Linked DNA regions of Styela clava. The protein of the gene in region 1 purifies or fractionates together with the protein of each later gene. This does not show direct contact. Links are inferred from orthologs where the notes say so. Each region holds a gene or a part of one and is shown in the gene's direction. Other genes may lie near its edges. The genes, in order: U6 snRNA-associated Sm-like protein LSm1 and protein PAT1 homolog 1-like.

Region 1 (11,182 bases):
AACGTGTACGAAATCACATATTATATGTGCTTTTTATTATGCTAGAACAGGGTGATCCAAGATTGTCGGCTCCAGGGGCCACAAAAGGAATAGCCAAACAAACACTTTTATTGTGCAAACACATTGATCAGTGTTTATCATGAAAAAGTCCTTTTATATCTAAATTTAGCGTAAGATTTTAACTCTTCAGAACTGAAAAAAGGCTTCAGCAAATGCTTTGTGAAATGCTCATTGCTCACAAGATTCTGAAACGTCGTTTCAAATTATATTATTTCGTCACAGACACAACTTATCGACATATCAAGCAAGCATTGTGGTATTTTCCCTTCCACATCCAGTTTGAAATCTGCTGGAATTCGTCAGTTTTCTTTTCGAACTCATGTTTACAAAATAACTCCAGATAGATTGATTACCAAATGTGAGGTACAGGAGCGTAATTGCTAACTTTTTTGACATCTAGGCAGCATTTTTTTTAATACTGCTGGTTGCAAAAAACACCCGGCATGAATTATATTGTTGGGCCATAACATTAATATTTAGTTATCTGGCATAGCCAACCTAGGCTAATAGAATCAGCATTCGATTTCTAGTTTTCTATGATGCCAAAATTGTTAACATATATTCCCTACCAAAAAGATAGTAAGCCAGATAACAATTTAGACTGCCAAGTACACCATTCAACTTCTCCGCTGCACAAAATAATAAACAAATACTTGCCGACCACCAGGAAAGGTTAAGCACTACATGAAAGTTTTAATAAGCATTTTCGGCGCCGTTTGGACGAAAAATGGCCAAATTATTGCTGAAAAATCCAGTTAAAATCCAAGTTAGACAAGTTCACGATAATTGCCGATAGGGTTGCCAACCGTCCTTTATTTCAAAGGACAATCCTATATTTGAGATTTTTTCCCTGTCCTTTTTAGGATGATAATTGTCCTTTATTTTTTCCAGCGTCGTTTTGCCCGATTATTCTTTTTTAATTATTCTTTTTAATTTCGCTTTGGTATGGCACAAATAGCAAATAGCCAAGAAATACCAATTTTATTAACAATTTCAAATATTTTACATTAATTTTCCGAAGATGGCAAGTGGCAACACTCCAAGATTTGAGTGAATTCTAGTTCAATAACTTTCTCCAAAATATCAGACACTTGTAAAAATAAAAATTGTAGAGCATTTGAAGCTAAAAAACAAACTTAATTTGAATATGTTTGACCTATTTGATGAAGTTGCACTCATTCAAAAAAAAATTTGACACGATTCAAAGCACTAAACTGTTCACAGAATGCAGCTTGATTGGATCAATGTTAAATAAACATTAAATGAAAAACAAATGAAAATTTTTTAATATATCTTTTTAGCTTGTATATAATTTGTATTTAATTGTTTTATATTGTTCTTTCCTGCAAGTTACAAAATAAATGATGATGGTAATCTATGTCCTTTATTGAGAATTTTCATAGTTGGCAACCCTAATTGCCGACCAAAACAAATTTCAATTACCGGCTTCCAATTCTTAGTCACTTATGTGTGCATGTTTGACAGAAATTAGGCGACCCCGGCAAATCTTCACGCAACCCCATCCGGGGTCGTGACCCACAGTTTGGGAGCCACTGCCCTAGTAAACCCCATACTGGAACCTATAGAAACCAGGTTATGGGTTAACGCAAGATTTTTCTCAAAAGATTATTGGATTTAACATAAAGATTGACACTGTTTATTCTGAGAATCTCATTTAAACAAGAAATTTCTGAGGGAAGGACATCTTATAACATTCTCTGAATTCAAAGCCGTTTTTACGAGCTGATAACATTGCTTCATATATGGACCATTTATATATCTGTTGACTAGTTTATTAAAAGGGGTTCGCAAATATACGTGAAGGATCGAAAGAGTCCATAATTTTGCAAAGACAAGAAACCGAAAATTGTCATCCGATTCTTAATGCCATTGTTATGAAATGTAAAACTTAATGGTTATTGAAAAGTATCTTATTTAAAATAAAATACGAAAGGTTCATAATTAATACAATTTCCTAGATTAATTTTCTCTATCAAAGATCAAATACAATCTATGCTCGAGTCTGTCCATCTGATGCAATTTTGGAAGGAAGTTATTTCTAAAACACCCAACAAAGGATTTACAAAAAGGCATCCAAGTAACATTTAATTCATTTATATTATTACCGTCTGTAAAATAAACTACCGTAAGAATCTATTATCATACCTCCCTCCTGAAGCAAGCTAACATCTCATGATCAGCACGGTTACATGCTCCAAAATATTGCTTGAACGGATGCTGAAAATAAAAATTTGAATATTGTCACTTCGTAAATAAATATTATGAACACCTTTCCTGTTATTCTTATTGGTTATCATTTTTTTCAACCAAAATTTTAAGCCATTAATGACCTCAATAAATGAATCACCAAATGGTCCTGTATTGTATTTATCACAAAATAATAGATACCTGTTTTCTGCACATCAAAAGAGCATAGATCTTTTCATTGCATTCTGGAGTATGAAGATGCGGGGAAAGATTTGGGTGCATTTTTATATAACAAATGAATAGTCTGAAACTTATCACCAAAAATTTTAGCTGGCAGTTCTTGGAAACTGATGTTCACGAAACGTCATAAATGAAAACAGAAAATACAATTTCCTAACAGTGAAAACTCCTTTTGCCGAATGTATACATGCAAAGTACAATGTCTAAACTCAGGTAAGTCTGATATGCATATTTTGTTAAGAGTTGTCCTATAGCATAAAATATTTATTAACCAGACAAAAATACTGGCCACACATTTTTACTTCCACATTAACAGCCTTGTTTCCAATCTTCAAATACTATCATACACCACAGATATATATAAATATGATATACAATGCGGAAAACATATGTTTTGCCATTTGCTTGATGAGAAAGTCTCCAGTTCTCAGAAAATATTTTCACATATCTGTTAACTGCTTCTCAAGAGCTTTGCTTTGAGTGTAGGTGTGAAAACAACTCATTGCTTAAAAGAGCAAACTGCAATCTAGATACAATTCTTATTTTTCCAATAACATGTCTGGGTTGTAGGTATGATATATTGTATGCATACAATTCGACTGTCAAAATCAAATACAAACATAAACTATGGAGTAAATGAGTGAACACCAATTTTAAAACGAATGAATTGATGTAAAATTATACTAAATATGACCTTAATAAACTTCAAGTGAATATGGAATTTATTAATTTGTAGTGTTAACAATAACCTATCATTCATTCATGATATGGCTCGGCCAATATTTATCTTCAAAATATGAATCTTCTTGCAAAATCAAACTATCAAGAACACCCCTATGAGTTGCGAGCCACTCATTTTCAACTAATTTAAAAATATCCAACGTGGCAGTTGCATCTTCTACAGAACAATGGCGATTGTGTTGTATTTTTCGATCGAGCAACTGTTTTGCAAAAAATTTCAAAGAAGATCTATTTAAACATAATGAGTATTTTTCTCTGTATTGGTCGATTAATTTTCTTGCAGAACCATAACCAATATCAATTGTATGTTGTTTCGGATGACTCATCTCTAAAGCAGTGAGATCGTTATGAATACTATGTCCAACAACAAGTTTCCCTTCAATGGCTTTTTTAACTTGTTTCTGTGCTTCTAGGAAGGTAACGCAAGTGTCACTATTCAGTAGTTTTTTAGTCATTCCACTATGAGGAGTTCGATAGTCAACGACTCTTAAAGTTTGCTTTACAAACAAATCAAGTACAGTTTGTCCATCGTAGTTAATAATTGAGCAACGAGCCAGTGAATTAGTGACACCTTGACATTCAACCATTTCACAATCAAGTGCAACAAGTATATTTGACAAAGATGAATTTTTTCTATCACTTTGCTCTGGTTTTGCTAAGATCCTGCAGTTCGCAAGAGCAAGGTTTGAGCTTTGAATTGACAAGAGTCTCAATCGTTTCGATGCAAAATAAGAAGTTGGTTCAGTCAAAATTCTTTTTTCACATTGTTTTTCCCTTTCGATGGATGATCTTCTGAAGGCACTGCTTTTAAATCGTTTAATTTTATCAGGAGTTCTGCCTTTTCGTTTTCTTAAAATTCCTTCTTTCCATGAGTTGTTATTTGACAAATTTGCCATATTCTTAGTTCCCAGTGTACTCCAAACTATACCAGAAGCAAATTTACGAAACATGAAGTCGGGGTGACATTAATATTTTGATGAAATTTGACCAAATACAAATAGATTGTGAGAGGTAGCTCTCATCCACACAGTATGAAGATTTACAGTATTTAAAATATTCAATTGAGCTGTTATAGAATGTTTGAGATTATTCACTATAAATATAATACAGTAATAGAATAGGAATTTTATATTTGTCCCATGGATATTGAGGGAAGCCGATAAGATAGCCTTATCATATGACAAACCCCGGCCCTAATGGTGGAGGGAGCTGCAATCCACCAACTATGCCTAAATCACCCTGCAATGGCATGCGTCCAGCAATTCTCTTATACCCAACTACACCCTACAAGATTTGAATTTGTGAACCCACACAAGGTAATCCAGTAATTAGAGGTATGATCTAATAAGGTACTTGCAATGTGCCAACCGCTCATCAAAAACATAGATTGTGACAAGAGGAAAATCCATTCTGAGGTAGGATATAATAAATATCGTCTTTTCTTCTGAAACCAACCGGTAATTGGAAAAATCATCACGGTATTGCATAATCTTGATTATAAGTATAAGTTTATTTTGACTCAATAATCAGCAGTAGACCTAAAATAATTGATAAAAACAAAATATAAAACACTGATTATAGAATCGAGAAAGCAAACGAAACCTCAAGTAAGATTTGAAGCATACAGATTTTAGATGGGAAGGTATTAATAAAAGAAGTAGTACCGTACATGTTCACTCACCCAAAAGTATTAAAACTAATTAAGGCACGCACGCACATACAAGCATCGGGTCTAGTATAGTTTAGTACCACAAGTACTTCCAGTTGGCGTATCATAACGAATTTTGCATATGTTATGCCCAACCCCCACCTGACTATGCCATCCAAAAATTACGTCACCATCATGCAGTCATGTCATAGGGCAGTAGGGCTTGCCAAAGTATGATTACGATCGTCCGAAATGGCATCTGCGCCGCCGATAACGAACTCGCTAAAGCCGGCAATCTCTCTCCTATCGTGATAATTGTGACAAGAAAACGGAGGCGCAGTTCTTACCACTTCATGGCAGCTCCTGCCACGAACGTACCACGCCGTCTCCTGCCATGGTTTTATGGCGCTATTACCGGTATATTTACAAATTTAGGTACCATATTTTAGTTTATCATGCGAAATTATATCTACTTAAACTCTAACCCTAACCCCAAATCCATCCAAACTGTATCCATAAGAAAAACATTCCAACTCACCAAATATTTATCACCATCAGCAGATTAGGGGCAGCCCTGCTATTACAGCCGACCTGCCGTGGTTACGGCAGTAAAATTGGTGGTATTCGATTTGCTGCCGTAACCACGGCAGCTCGCTATTGGTTTGTGGCAGCTAAAAAGTCAGTCGCCGTGGGTTTGGTCTTAGTGGCCGTGGTTTGGAAATCCCGCCATGGTTTTGCGGCAGCTGTAGACGCCACAAAATACTTGAAACTGCACTTGAGAAAACGAGAGAAATAGCTTGCTCGATTTCGGGTGATCGTCTGCGCGCTTTGGACGACCATTCGCATACTTTGGTGGGCCTTATTACCGTACGCCACTGTGACGTCGAAATGATGTAATTTTTGGGTGACATAGTCAGGTGAAGGTCGGAAGTGAAAAAAGCGAGACTTGTCATAAAATTTTACTTCAGGACAGTATGGTACTGCAGTAGGACAATGTTCATACCGGCAGTTAGAAAAAATAGGTACCGGTACCGGTAGCCTACAATACCTACGCTACTGTACCGGTACCGGTACGGTATATCCCATTTTCTTCCTCCTCGGGATGCTCTGTATCTGCATATAAGTCTAGTACTTATGACCTCTAGCATTTCTAAACCCCTGCGCACACCGGTAATTATATGCCAGAGGACTGCTAGACTGACGACTGAGCTCTCCGACACCGTCGGTGGTTATAAGCATGGTTGTAAAGGTGACCGTACATTTGAACCCATGCGTATACCCGCGGGTTCAATCTATATCCGGATGCTAAAACCCATGGGTTAGGGTTAGCATGGGTTCAAATATATGTAAAACAAAAAAAAATTTCATAGGTGCAATAATATGCAGGTGCAAAGCGTGGGTTCAAATGTACGGGAACCGGTTGTAAAATGTAAAGGATAGTATTCACATATTTTCATACAGAGAAGTAGACCGATGAGACGGTGAATCTATGTCGGGTAGGGACCGGTCAGCCAGAAATAATTTAATGATCAATCAGCACTCAGTGCGGTCTTCCGAGCAGTTTTATTTTAGATGCAGCAATCCAAAATCAGTCACGAAAAAGCTGCGATAGTTGGATAGACTGGGCTAAAATTGAAAAAAAGCACCTGGTTAAATTGTTTGAAATGGGAGATTGTTTGAAGTTCGTTCATATATAATCGTCCCAAATACGATATTGAAGAAAATTAGATAGTCTGTTTTTCGACATTTGTGGTTTCAATTGGTTAGCAATACCATTTAATTGATTTTAAGTCTCCTTTTTTCACTTCCGACAGTTTCATGTCTCGATGATTGTGTGTGTGGGTGCGTTCCCCTAATTAATTTTTTTTCTTTTGGGTGAGCGAAAACGTACTACTTCTTTTATCAATACCTTTCCATCTAAAATCTGTAAGTTTCAAACCTTACTCAAAGTTTTGTTCACTCTCCCGATTCTATAATCAGTTATTTTTGTTTTCATCTATTTTTTATCGCTTATTTTGCTGATTATGGAGTCGAAATAAACTTATTCTTATACCATTGGGTACGAGGGTACCATAATTATCTAATGTCCTTTCCAGTGCTTTTACTAGTCATAATTTGTCTAGTCTTAATTGTAGTAATTGCCAATTATTGTGATACATTGTTGTTATACAAGTGTTGAAGATGTTTATACCGCTATATTTATATCGTGGGTATTTTGTAGTTGTACTAGGTGTACCCGAAGAGGTATTAATATTTATTTATTTGGCTCAGCAGTGTGGCGCATCGTGCTAAGCGTTAGGAATACGCTCGCCACCGCATCTCTGATTACCCTTCGTGAATTCGCAGGTTCGAATCCCATGCGGGGATGATCATGTGTGAATGCTAGACTCCCCACCGCCGTAGGGTGGTTCACGTAACCACTGGTCGGTTACGGCTTCCGCCACCATCAAGTTCATGCTTCTGAAAACAAATAACTGGCTAACTAATCCCATACCCGACCTGGACCGGTAACCCTACGAGAGGCCGTGATTCGCCATATGACTAAGCTGTTTTATTGGCTTTCCTCTCCCCTGGGATAAATATGTAAATCCTTCCTTCATTCCTATAAGATGCCTATTTGTGACTGCTGTCAGCAGGTTCATTTTTAAGTGTCATTTCTGTATTTTCAGGGAAATCTGTTGTATGCTGGTATTGTGAACAGTATTAAAAATCTAATATCTGATGCAGGCATATTAGTGTAATTATGGATTATATGCCTGGAACAGCAAGCTTGATTGAAGAAATTGATAAAAAACAACTTGTGGTTTTGCGAGATGGTCGAACTCTTATTGGGATATTACGAAGCATTGATCAGTTTGCTAACTTGGTAATTCACCGGACTATTGAGCGAATACATGTCGGTAAAAAATATGGTGATATACCAAGAGGAATATTTGTTGTCCGAGGTGAAAATGTTGTTCTCCTTGGAGAAGTAGATGGAGAAATGGACAATGAAAGTGACTTGAACCTTGAAAAAGTGTCTGTTGAAGAAATATTGCAAGCACAGCGTAAACAACAAGAAGAGCATATGGAAGAGAAAAAAGCAAAATTGAAAGCAATGAAAGAAAGAGGACTCTCTTCGAATGTTGAACAGCAGGATGATGCATTTTAAGCGCAGCAGATATTTAACAAACTATAATATCTTGTCAATCATGATTGTGTTTGTGTGCGTAACATATAGCTATTGCTCAGATGAAAATTATGTGTGAAGGTCCAAACATGCTGGAAATGAAATTTCGTTACTTTTTAGTAGTCTTTTTATTTATAAATATTCTCTTCTTTCAAAGATATTACAGTAGAATTTTAATCACAATGTAAATGGAAGCAACATTTTCAAGTTTGGAAGAGTTTCAATATGGTTTTCATAATCAAGCTTACATGCCAACTCGTTAAAGCGGCTGTACCCTCACTGCTAACGCAAAAAGTCCTTTTTATAACTGCCTTCCAATCAGGATGTTTTTCCTCACAAATTCGAGCACTTGGGATGACAAATCAATGCCATGGGGGCAAAATGTTTTATGATAGTTTTAGACGCACTAAGGAGTCTGGTGAGAGAGCAAAAGCAAAGTTGTTTTCGAATCTTGCTCGTAGATTGGAAATCGCAATAAGAGGTAAAAAATGATTGTACTATAACATGTCATAGCACTCATAGGTTTTCAGATTTCCATTCTATTCCTCACTGGCTAATTCTAGTAAACCGCGTTGGCAATGCAGGTTATGCATTTCGTGTTCAAATCCCATTCCAACGACCAAACCAGTGTAAAATCAATTCGAAAGGTAATGTTAAACCGGTAGGATCCTGGTATATCAGCTCCTTGGATATAAGTGTTGCTTGTACTTGCCTTGTTCAGAGCGAAAAGCTTAAACAAGGAGATAAACAAATACTCTTGCGTAATATGCAGACCTGATGATAATGAAATTAAGCTAATCCCATGTTTTTCAGAGGGAGGGGGCAATGATCCAAAAAAAAATAAGCAGTTGGCTGCTGCAATACAAGAATGTAAAAAGGCAAATATGATGAAGTCAAGTATAGATAAAGCTCTATCAGCGAGACAGGCAAGTGATACATTACCGCATCATGGGATATTTATTTATATCATTTTATTTATACATATACTTTTTTATAGGCAAGTGAAGAATTTTCTTTTGCGCTCAGTGGCCCAGGCCATTCAACATATCTTATTATCTGCGGATCAACTGCGAAGCATAATGCAAAGCTTGCAATGTTGTCTGCAATAAAGATGTTACCGCAATTGTAAGTTTTGTTCTTCGAATGGATTTAACCCTTCTATGCCATGTACCCTGTTCATTTTCTTCAAGCTTTCTAACAATATTACACATAAGAATGACTCAAATACTGTTGTTAAATTGAAGTCGAAACTGATGACTTTTCAAATACATCTCCATTGCATGGAAGCATAACTCGTATCACAATCGATTGGCAAAAATAACAGTTTGTGCCGGGATTGTAAAGCACGATTTAGATGAAAGTTAATCTCTACTTTTATTTACTTTAAATGCTGCATTCTTTTGGAGCTCTATTTTCCCAATAAAAGTAAAAGAACTATTTTTCAGTTCATTGGTTTCCGACTCTCAAATACAGTTCGACCGGAAAAGGATTATTATCACAGACATTGGACATATTAAAGATAATGAAATTACCGAAGAAAAAGCAACAGAAATTGCTATAGAGATTGGAGCAGAGGATGTGGAAATTGTGAGTGATGACCAAGGCAGTCTATTAAAGGTATTGAAAAGATCACAATGATGTTTGTTGCAAGTAGTTGTTTTGAAGTAGGTATAAATGCTACAGTAAATACAACTAAAACAATGCGATACCAGGTTTGTTTACGATGCGCCAATTTGCAAGGCTACATTAAATTCGTGATCTTAGAAATTAATTTCATTAACATGAAAATAGAGATATAATATATTGTGTTCTTTTTGACTTTACTATTCTGCAATATTCGATTTTGGCTATACCTGATTTATATTGTAATTTGCCCCGACAAGACTCTCTGAATTACTTGGATAATTCCCTTATTATATTAAACAACAACCCTTCACTTATCCCTTTCATAGATACATCTTTGCACATATAAATACTATATTGCATAAAATTCAACAATTTGTTTCAGTTCACATGCAACGAGTCTGGGCATAAAACGGTTGAAGAAGCAATTGAAACAGATCTAAATGAATTGATAATATTTCAATCCAAAACTGAATATGTGCCAAATTCATACATCGACTTAGAGGATCGAGATTTGACAACTGCAAAACTATTTTATCAAACACTAACCAAATTGGATGCTAGAATACCACAGAAGTTTGAATTTATAGATATGTTTCATAATGTAAATGGTCTCACCACCACTTCTCATATTTAACATTATCACTGTGAAGCCCTAAATTTTCTAATTTAACTACTGTTGCATCGATAAAACCAGGTGGACCACATATATAACACAGTGGACTCTTTTGAAAGGAATTCACCGTTCTTTGTAAATGATCTTGTGATATTCGTCCATAATGAATAGGAATTTCATCTTCTATTTGCTGTAATTTATTTTCTTGAGTGACAAATAGTTCATATTCTGTGTTAGGTGTTACTCTGCAGATGTGTTGAATTTCATCCTGCAAAAAAATGGGTACTCCCTAGTATGTGTGCCATGTTAGGGTTAGGCAATAATTTTATTCCGATTTTCCTTGTTTTAGTTCTATTAACGAGTTCGGGGACTGTCTGTATTAACCAAATGAACATACCACCTGCCCATACTAATCAGTCCCTTTACACAACTAAAGTAGGCGAACAAAGTTAGTTACCTTCGTATTGGTACATACACTTCTTGAGCGCCAAAAATTGTGATCTTCTGCTACATTATATGTTTCAATTCATATACGGTGTTGCAATTAATAGAATTGGAGAGTTTTTCCATTATGGAATACTGGAAAAATTGTCTTATTTGCAGTCAAGTACTTAGTAATCAGACGGAATTAATATCATGAAAGTCTAACCTTAAATAGTAGTTCCTCTGCTGTCCTTGCACAGTATAGCAGCATTGTTGAGATTTTATTATCGGAGTACCTTTGAGGATCTTGTCTGAGAAAAGCACTGAAATATACCAATTTATTTAATTAACATGATTTTAATTATTAGGAAATATCAGGTACAAAACAGAGTCTATGTATGTGTAATAACTGGTTTATCTGTACCAGGTTAGGGTTATGCCATAATTTCATTCC
Region 2 (13,239 bases), on another chromosome or scaffold:
TATTATATTCTATACATCTGCTTCATTGGTACATCCTTCTTTTTTATTAGATTTGACTTACAATTCAATGGATCAATTTTCTAACATGATTTGTGATTCTAAGCGGTGATAATACTTCCTTGCCATATGTAAGCTAAAGCCGGTAGTGGTAATCAATATGGATTTAATCACATACCTTAATCACAGCTAACACTATTGGTGTTAAAATGCCCATATCTAATTTTTTCAGATGTATATTCATCTAATTTTTTAAGCTCATATTCATCCTCTATTTCATATTTTACAGTATAATCATTGCAAACGTTTGATTAAAAATGTGACATACAGTTAATTTTAGCAGGAGTTCATATTTCTATATGGAGGGAAATGTTTTTATTCTAGTTGAGCGTATTCATTTTACTTGTGCCAATTTTTTTTTCTACCTCTACTTATAGCAGCGATTTCTAAACAATAGCCATTACCAATTGATATATAGGATAGGTGGTCCATAAAGTCTTTTAAATTTTTTAATTGCAAAAGGAATATATCGATACCGTATATTGTTTTGGCCTCCACAGATGTATTGAATAAAGTAAAAATACTTTAACAATTACTGATTAAAAAACAACATTGAAATTGTAAAGGGACTTCATGAAACCCTGTATTTATGATTTCAAATATCTATGCTGACATCTGTATTATATTATAGACATTGATATCTATTAATCCACAAAAAAGGTGTATTGTGTGTTGTGACTATAATAATAATATTACCATCAGAGTTATCTCATACAATGTCAAAGAATTTGGAATATAAAAGGTATATTATGTTTCATAATCCAGACAAATTTCTCCTTCATAGTGATAGACTTCATCATGGACTTCAATAAGTTTTGACAAAAGAGAAGACATATAGTGTTGTGACCTTCATTATTCATACCATTTTACTTTCATGAATTATTGAATAGTTAATGTATAATGCTGATATATATGGTGAAGAATATTAAAGCTAATGCTCTTTTTTTAACCCTTGTAGCGATTTTATCGGTCTGCTAGAAGCATGGTATTGATTTCATCCCGATAAAGATCAGCATAATATGCGTACATGCAGCACAGCTAATTGTGTTCACAGTGGTTAACACAAGATTCAGTTATGTGTAATCATAATTAGACAAGTATTTTTAGGGAAGATTTTCTTTCTAGTATAGTTCGAGAAGCATAATTTCTACACATAGTAAGGTTGCCTACGCACATTCACCCTAGAGTAAAATGCAACATCAATTCATCAAACTTCATTGTATATCATATAGGTATATTTAAAAACTGATCAGTATTTTATAAAAGCAAGAGAAGCAGCTGGTCAACTTTCACATGTGGTATCAGCTGATGCACTTTGGAGCATTAACAAATTTCTATATTAACTGACCTAGAAAACTCATTTAACTAATTACTATTGTTTCAAATTTAAAATGTTACCATAATATTTTTTTTTATCATTTAGTATTAATTTCTCCTTATATTAATGATAAACATTCGATAATAACTATGATCATACTTGAATCTTTGTGATAATTGAATGATTTCATATGATCCGATTTCTAAGTTGTAATTTCTTGGGAAATCAATCGAGATTAATTGAGACTTAAATATGATGCGTCAAATAGGACTTCTACCTGCAGGATGTCAACCTTGGTTCTCAAATATGATTGTAGGTACAATGTCAAAATTTGCATACTGTTCCACAATGGCAGTCTACATATATGAAACCTCTTCTTCCAGTCAGGAGTATAAGTTAACAGCTATCAACGCAGAACATACAAAGACAATATCTTCTATTGCATGGAATTCAAGATGCCCTAATTTAATTGCAACATTTGGTGCTGACTTGAAAATAGTAATCTGGGATGTCTCAAAACAAAAAGTAATCGCACAACTTCCAAATGTGAAGGTAGTATCTTATTGTATTGATTGGATCAACGGGCAGCCTGACCCACAAACAATTTCTTACATTGGTGTCGGTGGACAGTTAGAATCATGGAATATAAGTACTGGTAAAGTTTCTGCAGTAAAAAATATAACTTGTTCTGGTGGAGGTAAAGTAACTATGTTTCGATGGCATCATACAAAGCAGAAGACAATTGCATTTGGACATCATGATGGCAGTATTTCACTTATTATCCAAGGGAAGAGGAGAATTTTGAAGTCTGCTGACAATGATGAAACTGAGGATCCTGTAGTTGTATTAAGCTGGGATCCATTATCCAATGATTATCTCCTCGTGGCAAATAAATTAACTGGCATCCGCCTTATTGATACAAATAGTGGTTCAGTAATTTCAAATTTCTTTTTACCAAGTAGGGCTGTTTCCACTTGTTGCTTCTCATGGATCAACTCAGCTCCAGGTATGTTCTTAACTGGAGACAAAGAAACTGGAACACTAAGGCTTTGGACGGTTGGCCAGGATCAGCCGCTCGAAAATTTCAAAGTAAAAGGCACAGGCTTCAATGGAATTCATGTGCTTGATGTTACACAAGATGACAAATTCTATGATGAAAATTTACAGCCAAATTCGATGCAAAGAAAGAGTTCGCAGTCGCAAGTTTCTTCTCATTCTGTACCTCCTGCTCATGTTGTATGTACATTTCGTGATGGTGGAGTTGGTCTGTATGACTTGCAAAAGAGGAAATGGAAATTCTGTAAAGATCAAGGACATATTGAGACCATATTTGATTGCAAGTTTAAACCAGATGATCCAAGAATGCTAGCTACGGCCTCTTTCGATGGTACAGTAAAAATATGGTCAGTGAATGACTTAAGTGCAGTCAAAACATCTGTGGGAAATGAAGGTGTGATATATTCTTTATCCTGGGCACCGGATAATTTGAACTGTGTTGTTTGTGGTACTCGACGTCATGGTGCTTTTGTTTGGGATTTTACAAAAGGAAAGGTAATAAAAAGGTTTTCAGAACACGGATATGCAGCTGTTTTTTGTGTTGCTTGGAACCAGAGAGATTCTCATCGAATTGCATCCTGTTCAGAAGACAGCTATTGTATTGTTCGTAGACTTGATGGAAAAAATGTACAGAAATATCCACATCCAGACTCGGTTTATGGCTGTGACTGGAATCTCTTTGATAAGAATATATTAGCAACTGGATGTGAAGATGGCATAGTCAGGATCTGGAACGTTTCCAGCGATGTAACGACAACGTGTACCATGGAATTAATGGGTCACACAAAAAAGGTCTTCAACATCAGGTGGCACCCCCTTGTGAAAGATATTCTTTGTACTGGGTCAGATGATTGCACAATTCGGATATGGAATATTGCCAATAATGGAGATTCTACATGTATAGGAGTTTTGTCTGGACATACTTCCAAAGTTCGAGGTTTGACTTGGAATCATGAAATTCCTCATCTTTTGGTATCTGGATCATGGGACAGCACAATACGTGTATGGGATGTTAGAGAAGGCAATCAGAAGTGCTTAGAAGTGGTAACTGATCATGGTGCAGATGTGTATGGTCTTGCTTCACATGTTTCAGCACCTTTCCTTATAGCCTCTACGTCACGTGATTCCACCGTTCGTTTATGGACACTTTCTTCTTCCTTAACATTACTGTTTGCAAAAATTATTGTGGGTCATCCCCTTGATGACATTCGAGCATCTGCCACTGAAGGTTTCGGAAGTCAATCCGGATTAAAATTGGCTGGAAGTATGTCAAAACAGATTGTTCAAGAGTTGAAGAAAAAACAGAGGAAACCTATTCTGAAACATAGATGGTTTTCAGAGCTCTTCTGTGCTATACCTTCCCTAGAAAATCTCTGGGATGTTGCTTGTTGTTCCATGGGCACAAAGGATGGTTCACTTTCTACTCAGTATAAAACTGGAATATTGCATACGAGCCATATAACTAAATACAAAGCTGCAGAAGCACAAGAAATAGAGCTGTCTACAGCAAGTCACTCTTCTCCTGGAAACCGACAGCAAGAAGCTGCGTTAGAAATAGCTTCTAAAATTCATCTCAAATTAGGAAATTTACAGCGACACTGTGAATTGCTGAAGACTCTTGGTCGATGGGAGACTGCTTTGTCACTTGCACCTGGTGTATCCATAGAATACTGGAGAATTCTGGCAAAACAATATGCTAAAATTCTCAAGAAATCAAATGATGTGGAAGCGCTAAGTTATCAAATTGCAACAGGTGATAGTCAAGCATGTATTCACGATCTGATTTTAGCAGGAGATTATGAAGATGCTCTTGTAGTTGTGCAAAGTGCTATTGAGTGTCGCACTCCTTCATATGCTCCTGTTCCGAAATCTCTTCAAAATGGTGATACAAAGAGTGAAGAAACCAGTGATGATACTATTGATAGTGATGATTTAAAACGGTTGAGGACTTCTTGCATTGAAAAACTGTGGAAAAAGAAGTACTCAAATGGGGATCCATGTCGGGCGGCAACTTATTTAGTTTCTAACAATGATGTTGTTGGGGCTATGAATTGTCTCATTAATGCAAATGAATTGCTTCTTGCATTATGTGTTGGGCAGGCATTTGCTAACAAGAGCACCTCCAGTTATTTGGTGGAAGCCTCAATTCTATTTTCAAGGAAACTTGAAGCTGAAAAGCACTACTTTTTTGCGGTTGAGATTTTAAAAATACCACTGTCTGAGGGAAATGTGTTACATCAAATGTGGAGTCCTATTCATGCATCATGTGCAAGATATGATGGAGATGATGCCCATAGAGAAAATTTGTATATCTATGCAGGACTCGAATCCCCTATAATTTTTCAGCAAAAAGGTAAACAATTTCAAGAAGACGGCCAAAAGATAGAATCAATGTATTGTTTCCTGCTCTCTTCCACGCCTGAGCTTGGGTTGAAAATTGGCTTGGAATTGCTTTGCAATGAGCTGAAGTCAAGTTCATGGACATTGTCAACCCCTTCTGTTCTAAGTTTAGAAGCAGTGTTTTCTGTATCCTCTAAAATTCTTTTAAAGCCAGATGAATGTCTAAGTAAGAACATTTTACTTGCAATATCAGCGTATATGGGAGCATTGAAAGCTATCAACAGTGGATACTTTTCTGTTGTCACTCCCTTATTTGAACATGCAATAGCAATGGCTGAAAGAATTGAATTGATGCCCAACAGCAGCAATAATACATTTCCGTTCAATTCTCAAGAACTACGACAAGATTTAGCTGAGTGGAAACAATATGTTTCTTCACTTAATCAAAAACAGGTGAAGAAGGAAGGTGTTGAAAGAGAGCAATCTGTTGAAAAAATTCTCCATAGAGCAGAAGTCGAGACAATGGTGATTGATCCTGCAAATGAAACGATTGTTGCTGGATCAGGTTTGCCATCTCATTCTGACGTTAATATTTCCTCCTTAACGAACAAAAGAATAAGAGGACCAGTGTTTTGGTTGGAGGATCATAAAACTGTAATATCACTCAATGAAGCCATTATGTGGGCGAGAGTGAATCAGTTTTCACCAACGGGATCTGGAGAGAGAATAATACCGTTTTAGTGTTCTTGATTTTGTTTTTAGTTCAAATCATAGCAGAGTATCATATTGCTTTATAATTATATTTTTATCAAACACCACTGTCTCATCAAATAATTAATAGTGTTTAGATCTCGACTAGTATTGCACTGTTTTTTTATAATTTGCTTATTATTTTTTTACGTTGTGCGAGGTGTTAATTTTAGGATTTTGCACATATTGGTTGTTTCTTTTGTGATATGTTTAGAAAAACCTCACACTGGTATGAAGATGTCACAAGTTGAAGGTGATCAATGGAATAACGATAGCTTGCCACCAAGGCCTGACTCCAAATTTAAAAAAAATAAATCGTTTTACATTCGTTCGCTGGGAACGTCGGTGATCCAGATTATTTTAGTTTCATTTAAAGAATTCAATACTGTCTTTTGGACGTCTGAAATTGCACTTTTTGTTAGTTGAAAATTGTTTCGACTTCCATATGTGTCAGATGGATCTGGCACAGTGAGCTAGTAAACTAACTCACACACAACCTGGAAAATACATCCATTTACCGAATTTACAATCGCGGAAATTTGTTACTAGAAAAGATAATTGCGCCAATCTGATAGAATAAGAGGTGTCTGCTTTTTAGCAGTGCGTTGTATAATTTGAATATTATTTAATGCCATGAAACTGGGAAATTGAAAAAGCGGCGGACCTTCGCTTGTGCGATGCATTTCGTACGACTCCATGGCTGGTAAACAACAGGCTGAAAGTGGGTACGAGTATTGTCGAACATAAGTTTATTTCGACTCCGTGATTAGCGTAACAGTAATTTAGGTCGAGGTTAAGGTTTTGCCCAAGAAGCAGTAAGTGTTCTCTCGTTTAAAAGTGTTAAATTAGTTCACAGAAACGTATGCACACAAAACTTCAGGGTTATGAGGAAGTAGAAAATATCCTACGCGGGAGACTGTAGATAAAATAATAAATGGAAAAAGTTTATAAAAATTGATTGCCGCGTCATATTGATAATTTTACAACAGTTGCCAAATTGAATATGAATATTGTAAATAAAAATATTTATTAAAAATGATATCGCCAAGCTGATTATGGTTGGAATCGAATGCCAAATTGACCAGAGGTGGGCTAGGCCCAAGTTTGATTATATCACACTATCACACACATTGTTCAAGTCAAATCCACACCAAACCCTTAAGTAAACACAAAATACATTGCGGACATTAGAAAAAAAAAAGCATATCAATTTAGAATCACATAGTTAAGATAGGAGAGCTGATATATATATATATATATATATATGAGCTCCTTGGTATCCGAATAAATAAAGTTATGCCTTATTCGAAGATGACGATGTTTTCACGCTGTATATACATAATGTCCTGACATTTAATTTTTGTCTACGGAAAGATAAAATACAATTACAGACCAGGATGAAACTGGAATCTGCCATTTCTATATGCAAAACGCCATCTCTGGCGATGCCGTAATATTGTACAACAATGAAATTAGGCATCAAGTGTCGATACCCTGATTGCCCTGCGTTGGTTAGAACTATATGAGACAATATTAGTAAGATGGTATCCCGAAGTTTCCGTCATCGTGTGGACTTCTTATCATTCGCTTTCATCCATATTCAAGTCTACGAACCTGGAATAATTAAGTAGTTATCTATTCTATTCATCGACATGGGTAGTTCGCTATTGACCCTTCTTTCACAGAAATAAATATGAAAATCGCATTTATTCTGCGTCCGATAGCAGCATACGAAAAAGAGAGTGGAGAGAATAATAATAAAATTCCAAGTACAACGTCGAATGAATCAGGGCATTGTCTGTCATCGGAACAAACTGAATTCGTGCGGTTCTTGCCAAATGGTTGATGACGGTAAACTTCCGCATTTCGCCCCAATAAGAATATATGTTCGCCCATAAGAACGGAAGCTTCTTTTGGCGACATTTCAAAACCGAAATAGAACAAAGTGATAAGTTTTTGAACGTTCGTGGATATCCAAGCTTTCCACATGTGGTAATCCTCGTACACAAAAGTCACTTGATTTAGGACATTCATATTTTCGCTTTACATTTTACACGCTTTACATTTTGGAGACAATGTGGATGTCCATACTAAAAAGTATACTACATATCCGAAACGATCTTTTCTTTTTTGTTTTTGATGTTCTATAGTCTATACCGTTCCTTTACAAATTTGCCACTAGATGCCATAAGTATTTGTCAGTCACGGACGTTGGAGGTGTCTCTGCGTTTTCGTATATTGCGTTTTATACCGGTAACTTAGCTGGTTTCATTACCGGTTTTTGTGAAAGCACTCTTTGAATGTTGAAATGGAGCTTCAGGACATAACTTAGTAAAGACATTGTTACGTGTGAATACAAAATAAAGGAAGCAGAGGGGTTAGTTGGCGTGAATGAAAAAATGAGCGACCCCTTTTTCTTTGCTTCAAAATCTCAGGTGAGATATAAAAATGTTCTAATCAAATAGAATTATGTATGTGTGGGTAAAATGTGCGTTTTTAGTCTGCTCATTGACTTTAAGTCATGTGTGATAGTTTTACTGGTACCGTATTGGACAGTTGTATTCCAGTATTTTTTATACTTTTCTGAAGCAATCTGACTGTCAAGTGGATACCAAGTCCTTAACTTTTTTTAGTCAGAGGTTCAAATTTTAAAATGCTTTAGTTAGGATTTTGTTATTTCGAATTCAATCAAAACTTTTTTATCCAAATCTGAAAACTGGAAAATGGGGAGTTGAAATTTTGTCGAATGGGTTGTATTTATATGAATTAAGTTTTGAGTCTCATGTAGTTTCGTACCTCAAGTACTTCTAGTGGGCGTAGCAAAACGATTTTTGCACATGTCAATCCTAACCCCCACCTGACTACACCATCCAAAATTACTTCACAATCACGTCATAGAGCTTGCCAAAGTATACCTACGGTCACCCGAAATGGCATCTGCATCGACGATAAAGAACTCACTAACAACAACGATCTCTCACTGATCGGGATTGTTGCGACGCGAAAACGAGAGAAATATCTTGCTTGATTTCGGGTGATCGTCTGCGCGTCTTGGATGACAATTTGCATAGTTTGAAGAGCCTTATTACTACACTAGACCCTAATTTTTGATGTCTTATATCATGGATAAAAATTTGCACAGATCTAGAAGTAGTGACCACAGAAAACCCCACAAATATCAAAGCAAACTGCTGAACAATTTAGTTATATTAAAGGGCCCTTAATCCTGTATTGCGGCTGAATGAAGTCAGTATTCAACAATTGATTGTACTTCATATAGTCATAGGAATATTGGCTCAAGGCAATGGCACAAAAATTTATAGGACTCATACAAGAGACCCATGTTTTGCCATGTAATTAAGCTGAAGATATTTGAAAAATCCAAACTTGTTTGCTTAATATATTAATAGACTTAAGTAAAAAAACAGTTGCGGTAAAGAAGTTTTCAGAATGTTCTAACCTCATCATATAACCAGATTTTAGTTACTGACCAAACTACTTATTATTCAGTTTCGTAAGGATGATTCGAGAAGAAATATTGACCTTCTGAATGATGAAACATTTGGATCTGGAGCTGTTGGTGAGATCTTTATTTTTTAAAAGCAATTAATACTTGTAATATAGTAAGGCGTTATTTTGCAAGCTGTCTTTTTATCCTACTCTCACAGACTCACACATGGAGTTTTAGATATGGCCTAGTGGCATATGATGCATTTTTGCGTCTGTACATGTCTGTCTGTTTTGAGTCTGCCTTCAGAGTAAATTGTATGTATTTTCAAACCTTACCAATATATTCTTGAAGATGATAACTGGGAAGATGAACATAATCAATTTGTTGAACAAAATTCACGGGGTAGTAGTCTTAGTGCAGTTGGGCGAATGGAAGATTATCTTGATGAAGATGAATTGGAACTATCAAATCAACAACTCGCAGCTGCAGTAGAAGAACTGGTCTTGAACAGCGACCAGGATCAAGATGCAATTGATCCTGCCATTGTTAGCTTGCGTAAAGAATCACGAATGGGTTCATATGATCCAAGACTAACAGAAGAGTAAGTTAAAGAGTTTATTGTAGAAATTTGGCAGCGGAATAAGTTACCAATTCTGCGTCTTTTTATTAACCTCAATTATTCAACCTATTGACTTTAAATATACCATAACAATTACCGGTATGTTCATCATTTAAACTATTTTTATTAGCATTCAACAAACAATAATTTTAGGATCATGTTTTATCGTCCCTAATATGTAATTTCGACGACAATAGTCCCTTTTTTTGGAAGCTTCAATTATTAACAAATATTTTAGATTCTCACCAAAATTTTGTTTTAACTTTGAGGTATGAATTGCTGTATTTCATTGATTAATGATATTATAAAACTTGTTTAATCAAGCCATATTACTCTGTTTTTACATAATACTATTCTTATTCCAGTCTCATATCACCATATATGGGTGAAAGGAATAATTTTGGTAGAATAACTCCGACATATTCTTCACAAAATTCTTCATCTTCATCAGCTTCACTCTTTCAAACTGATGGATTGGTGAGAGTTATTTATTGTATATTTCACATTAGCAACAGTGTAATGTACCGGTACTTGTTGCAATTCATTAAAATCTTTTGCAAGTTCTTTTAAGAATAGTTATCATCAATTTGGCGCATATGATAGCAATTAAAGTATAGGTTGATATACGCTTTACAAGTTCTACATACTCATACCACATACATTACTGGTCTATTTCTGGGACTCGCCTAATATGTGTAGGGTTGGGCCATAATTTTATTTCGACTTTCCTTATTTTAGTTCTATTACGAGTTCGGGGACTGTTTGTGTTAGCCAAGTGAATATACATACCCGCTTTCTATAGGCTTTCGTCTGTAAAATAGGCGTACAAAATTAGTTACCTCAATATTGATACACATACTTCTGGAGCGCCCTATTTCTACCAAAATTTTTTTAAATAGCCTAGTAATTTGGATATAAAAATCTGTAAATTTGAATATTTTTACAGCGTAATATCTGGAGTAATACTGATCTGGAGGTTCAAGACTCGTTAACAAAGTCACCATCCATGATATTGGAACGTCAAATGTTGAATGAAAAGTTGAAGAAAATGATGACTAAAACTACGTCACCCGAATTTGAGGCAAGTTTTTTGCTCGCTTTTTTTATCTTGTCATTTGTTCATTTTAATGTTGGATATGCCTTTGTTTAATTCTGAATTTCTGAAAAATTGATTTTGCTTGCATAAAAATAAGAAATTTTGAGGACATACCAGATATGGTATTATATTCTTAGGAATGTTAATAAGCTCCTGTGGTATGAATTTTTTTGTCTTGAGGAAAGGGTTTCGGGCAGAAATGAATAACGTATTGCCGTTCAAATTTTTCAATTTTCAATGCCTATTTATTAAGCTTTGCGTTTGGATACTACTATAAAAAAATTATCCATAAAATAGCACACTTGCAAAATATTTAGGCATTTGTTTTTGTGTCTAAAATCATCCTGATATTATTACTTTTTATTTTTAATGCTATTAGTAGTTTAATTTTATATTATAGGATGAAGCAATTCTTTCAGCTGTAAAAGCAAATCCCATGCCACAAAGTTGGCCAATAACGTCGCAATCTGAAGATTTACTTCGTCACATGTTTGCTCAGAAACAATCTATGTTAAGAGCTGAGGACTTGGAGAGGGAATTCTCGGGTAGTCAACTGAGGTAAGCAGAATGTAATTTACAGTGAAATTGATTTTCATTTATATCATGATTTTTGAAAATAAACATGTTGGATCGTCCTTTCTGCCACTTACTGGGATGAAAAAATTTGATGCAAATGTGTAAGTTTAAATAGAATTATATTGACGGAATGGGATATACCTTTAGCTGATCACCATGCAATTATAATAACTCGTAATTTTTTTACCTGATACAAATGTCAAATCTCATTCTAATTCACTGTATGGGTGGAAACAATTTTGTGTTTGCATGGCACACCAGATTAGGAATTAATAACAGAACTGAATAAGGTTTGTCTGGCATGTTGTGTTTAGGTATATATAGGAGATATAATATCTTGTTCCTAGAGGATTGATGTTACTGTGACTACAAATTCCTGCTATTTCTTGCCTTGAAATAACAATTTGACTATGCACAATCCATTGTGTTATTACTCAGTTATTGATAAGATTAACCTATATTTTAATTTATTTCTAGAACACTACAGGCTAAATTATATCTCTGGGATTTAATGTTTGTTATTTTTCCATGCAGGGGACCATCTCCAACATTTGGTATTAGCATTCCTAAAGACAATGACCTGAATCATAATGGAATGGATAGATCACTGCCTGCAAGATCAGTATCTCCGATCATTGGTAGCCCAACATCACATGCTTTGCCGATTGGAACACCACCTAAACATATAGCTGATATGATGCATCAAGCACACAAACAGGTTAGTGAGTTAACATAATATAGGCATACTTGAGCTGTGGGGTCATTTTTGGCATGTTTGAATTGATATTAGAGCTGGAGTCGTATGGTCAAACTAATTTCAGCTGGAGTCGAAATTTTGAATTTGTACGTTACTGAATTTCAGACTTTTAATATTGATGGTAATCAATATCAAAATTCGGACCTCCAGAAGTATGCGCACCAAGATGGCGCACAACCTGAACATAGTATGTGTGTACCGGTCAGGATTCACGTTGTGCGACATCTTGGTGCGCATACTTCTGGAGCACCCAAAATTCTATGCAGAAACTTAAAGGCATTAGCCAACTACGCTATATCTAACAATTGAAAATACGCAAAATCTTCTGTTAATTCAGTTCATTTTTCTTGGGGCTGAGTCCGTTAAAAAAAATTCTGTCAACTGTAAGTGTGTCAGAGTCGTTCTTTTAAAAAGGTTTGCGGATGGATTCACATATGTCCCTAATACTAACAGCACATTACAAAATTTTGATTTCAAATTCATACATTTTTATTTTTATAAAGGGGCTCGGAGGACCACATCCTGGCTTCCCTCTTCTTCAAAGACCTCAAGGTTTTATGGTTCCTCCAGGAAGAGCAGTACCTCCACCACCAGGCATGGGACCACCTCGGTTGTGGCCTCCTCATGGAATGATTAACAGACCACCAATGAATCCTCTAGTTGCTCAGGTTCGTATATTTTTCTCAGTATTTCTGTTTTGCAATAGTTAGAATCCTTGTCGATACACTTCTACATATACAATTCTGTGACTTCCATCTGACAAAGAGCTGATTATTGCAAATGCATAAAGAAAATGGCTAGTAGATAGTTATTTCACCAATTTCTGAATATATATCTGAGTTCAAGTGTGTAAAAATTGACCGGCCTTGAAGTTTAAAATTACATACTGGTACTACCAACGAACATTTTTTTCTTAGTAAAGATAATTTCTTGAGATACTTTGACTCTGTGTACACAGTCTATAGGTAAGCTATAGCCCCAACTGGTAATCGAATGAGAAGTTGGGATGTTATCAGTTTTGAAAGTTATGTTATCAGTTTTCCTGTCTAATCTTTCCTATCAGTTTTCGTATCTATCCAAATATAGATAATGCAATGTGAATTTTTTCAGAAAAATTTTGCGGTACCCCCCCAGTGTGTGTACCAGGTTAGGGTTAGGCCATAATTTTATTCCAATTTCCTTTATTTTAGTTCTGTTACGAGTTCCGGGACTGTCTGCG

The links.
Region 2: the proteins of U6 snRNA-associated Sm-like protein LSm1 (region 1) and protein PAT1 homolog 1-like purify together in Homo sapiens (co-immunoprecipitation; 3 studies listed by BioGRID and IntAct, with this or other methods). This does not show direct contact. The link is inferred for Styela clava from reciprocal best matches to the Homo sapiens genes LSM1 and PATL1.

Annotation. Positions count from the first base shown.
Region 1 is NC_135262.1:4,893,484-4,904,665, forward strand, and holds U6 snRNA-associated Sm-like protein LSm1, read left to right. Parts: upstream 1-7,540; 5' UTR 7,541-7,640; coding exon 7,641-8,048; 3' UTR 8,049-8,224; downstream 8,225-11,182. Other genes in the region: COX assembly mitochondrial protein 2 homolog, read right to left, coding at 2,227-2,298, 2,470-2,550; translational activator of cytochrome c oxidase 1-like, read left to right, coding at 8,292-8,547, 8,880-8,992, 9,064-9,191, 9,512-9,683, 10,075-10,326; oxidoreductase NAD-binding domain-containing protein 1-like, read right to left, coding at 10,304-10,573, 10,955-11,051. UniProt on the Homo sapiens protein: Plays a role in the degradation of histone mRNAs, the only eukaryotic mRNAs that are not polyadenylated. Probably also part of an LSm subunits-containing complex involved in the general process of mRNA degradation.
Region 2 is NC_135258.1:12,738,083-12,751,321, reverse strand, and holds the start of protein PAT1 homolog 1-like, read left to right. Parts: upstream 1-7,689; 5' UTR 7,690-7,920; coding exon 7,921-7,956; intron 7,957-9,031; coding exon 9,032-9,101; intron 9,102-9,323; coding exon 9,324-9,573; intron 9,574-9,956; coding exon 9,957-10,068; intron 10,069-10,537; coding exon 10,538-10,672; intron 10,673-11,087; coding exon 11,088-11,245; intron 11,246-11,797; coding exon 11,798-11,981; intron 11,982-12,523; coding exon 12,524-12,688; intron 12,689-13,239. Other genes in the region: WD repeat-containing protein 17-like, read left to right, coding at 1,628-5,512. UniProt on the Homo sapiens protein: RNA-binding protein involved in deadenylation-dependent decapping of mRNAs, leading to the degradation of mRNAs. Acts as a scaffold protein that connects deadenylation and decapping machinery.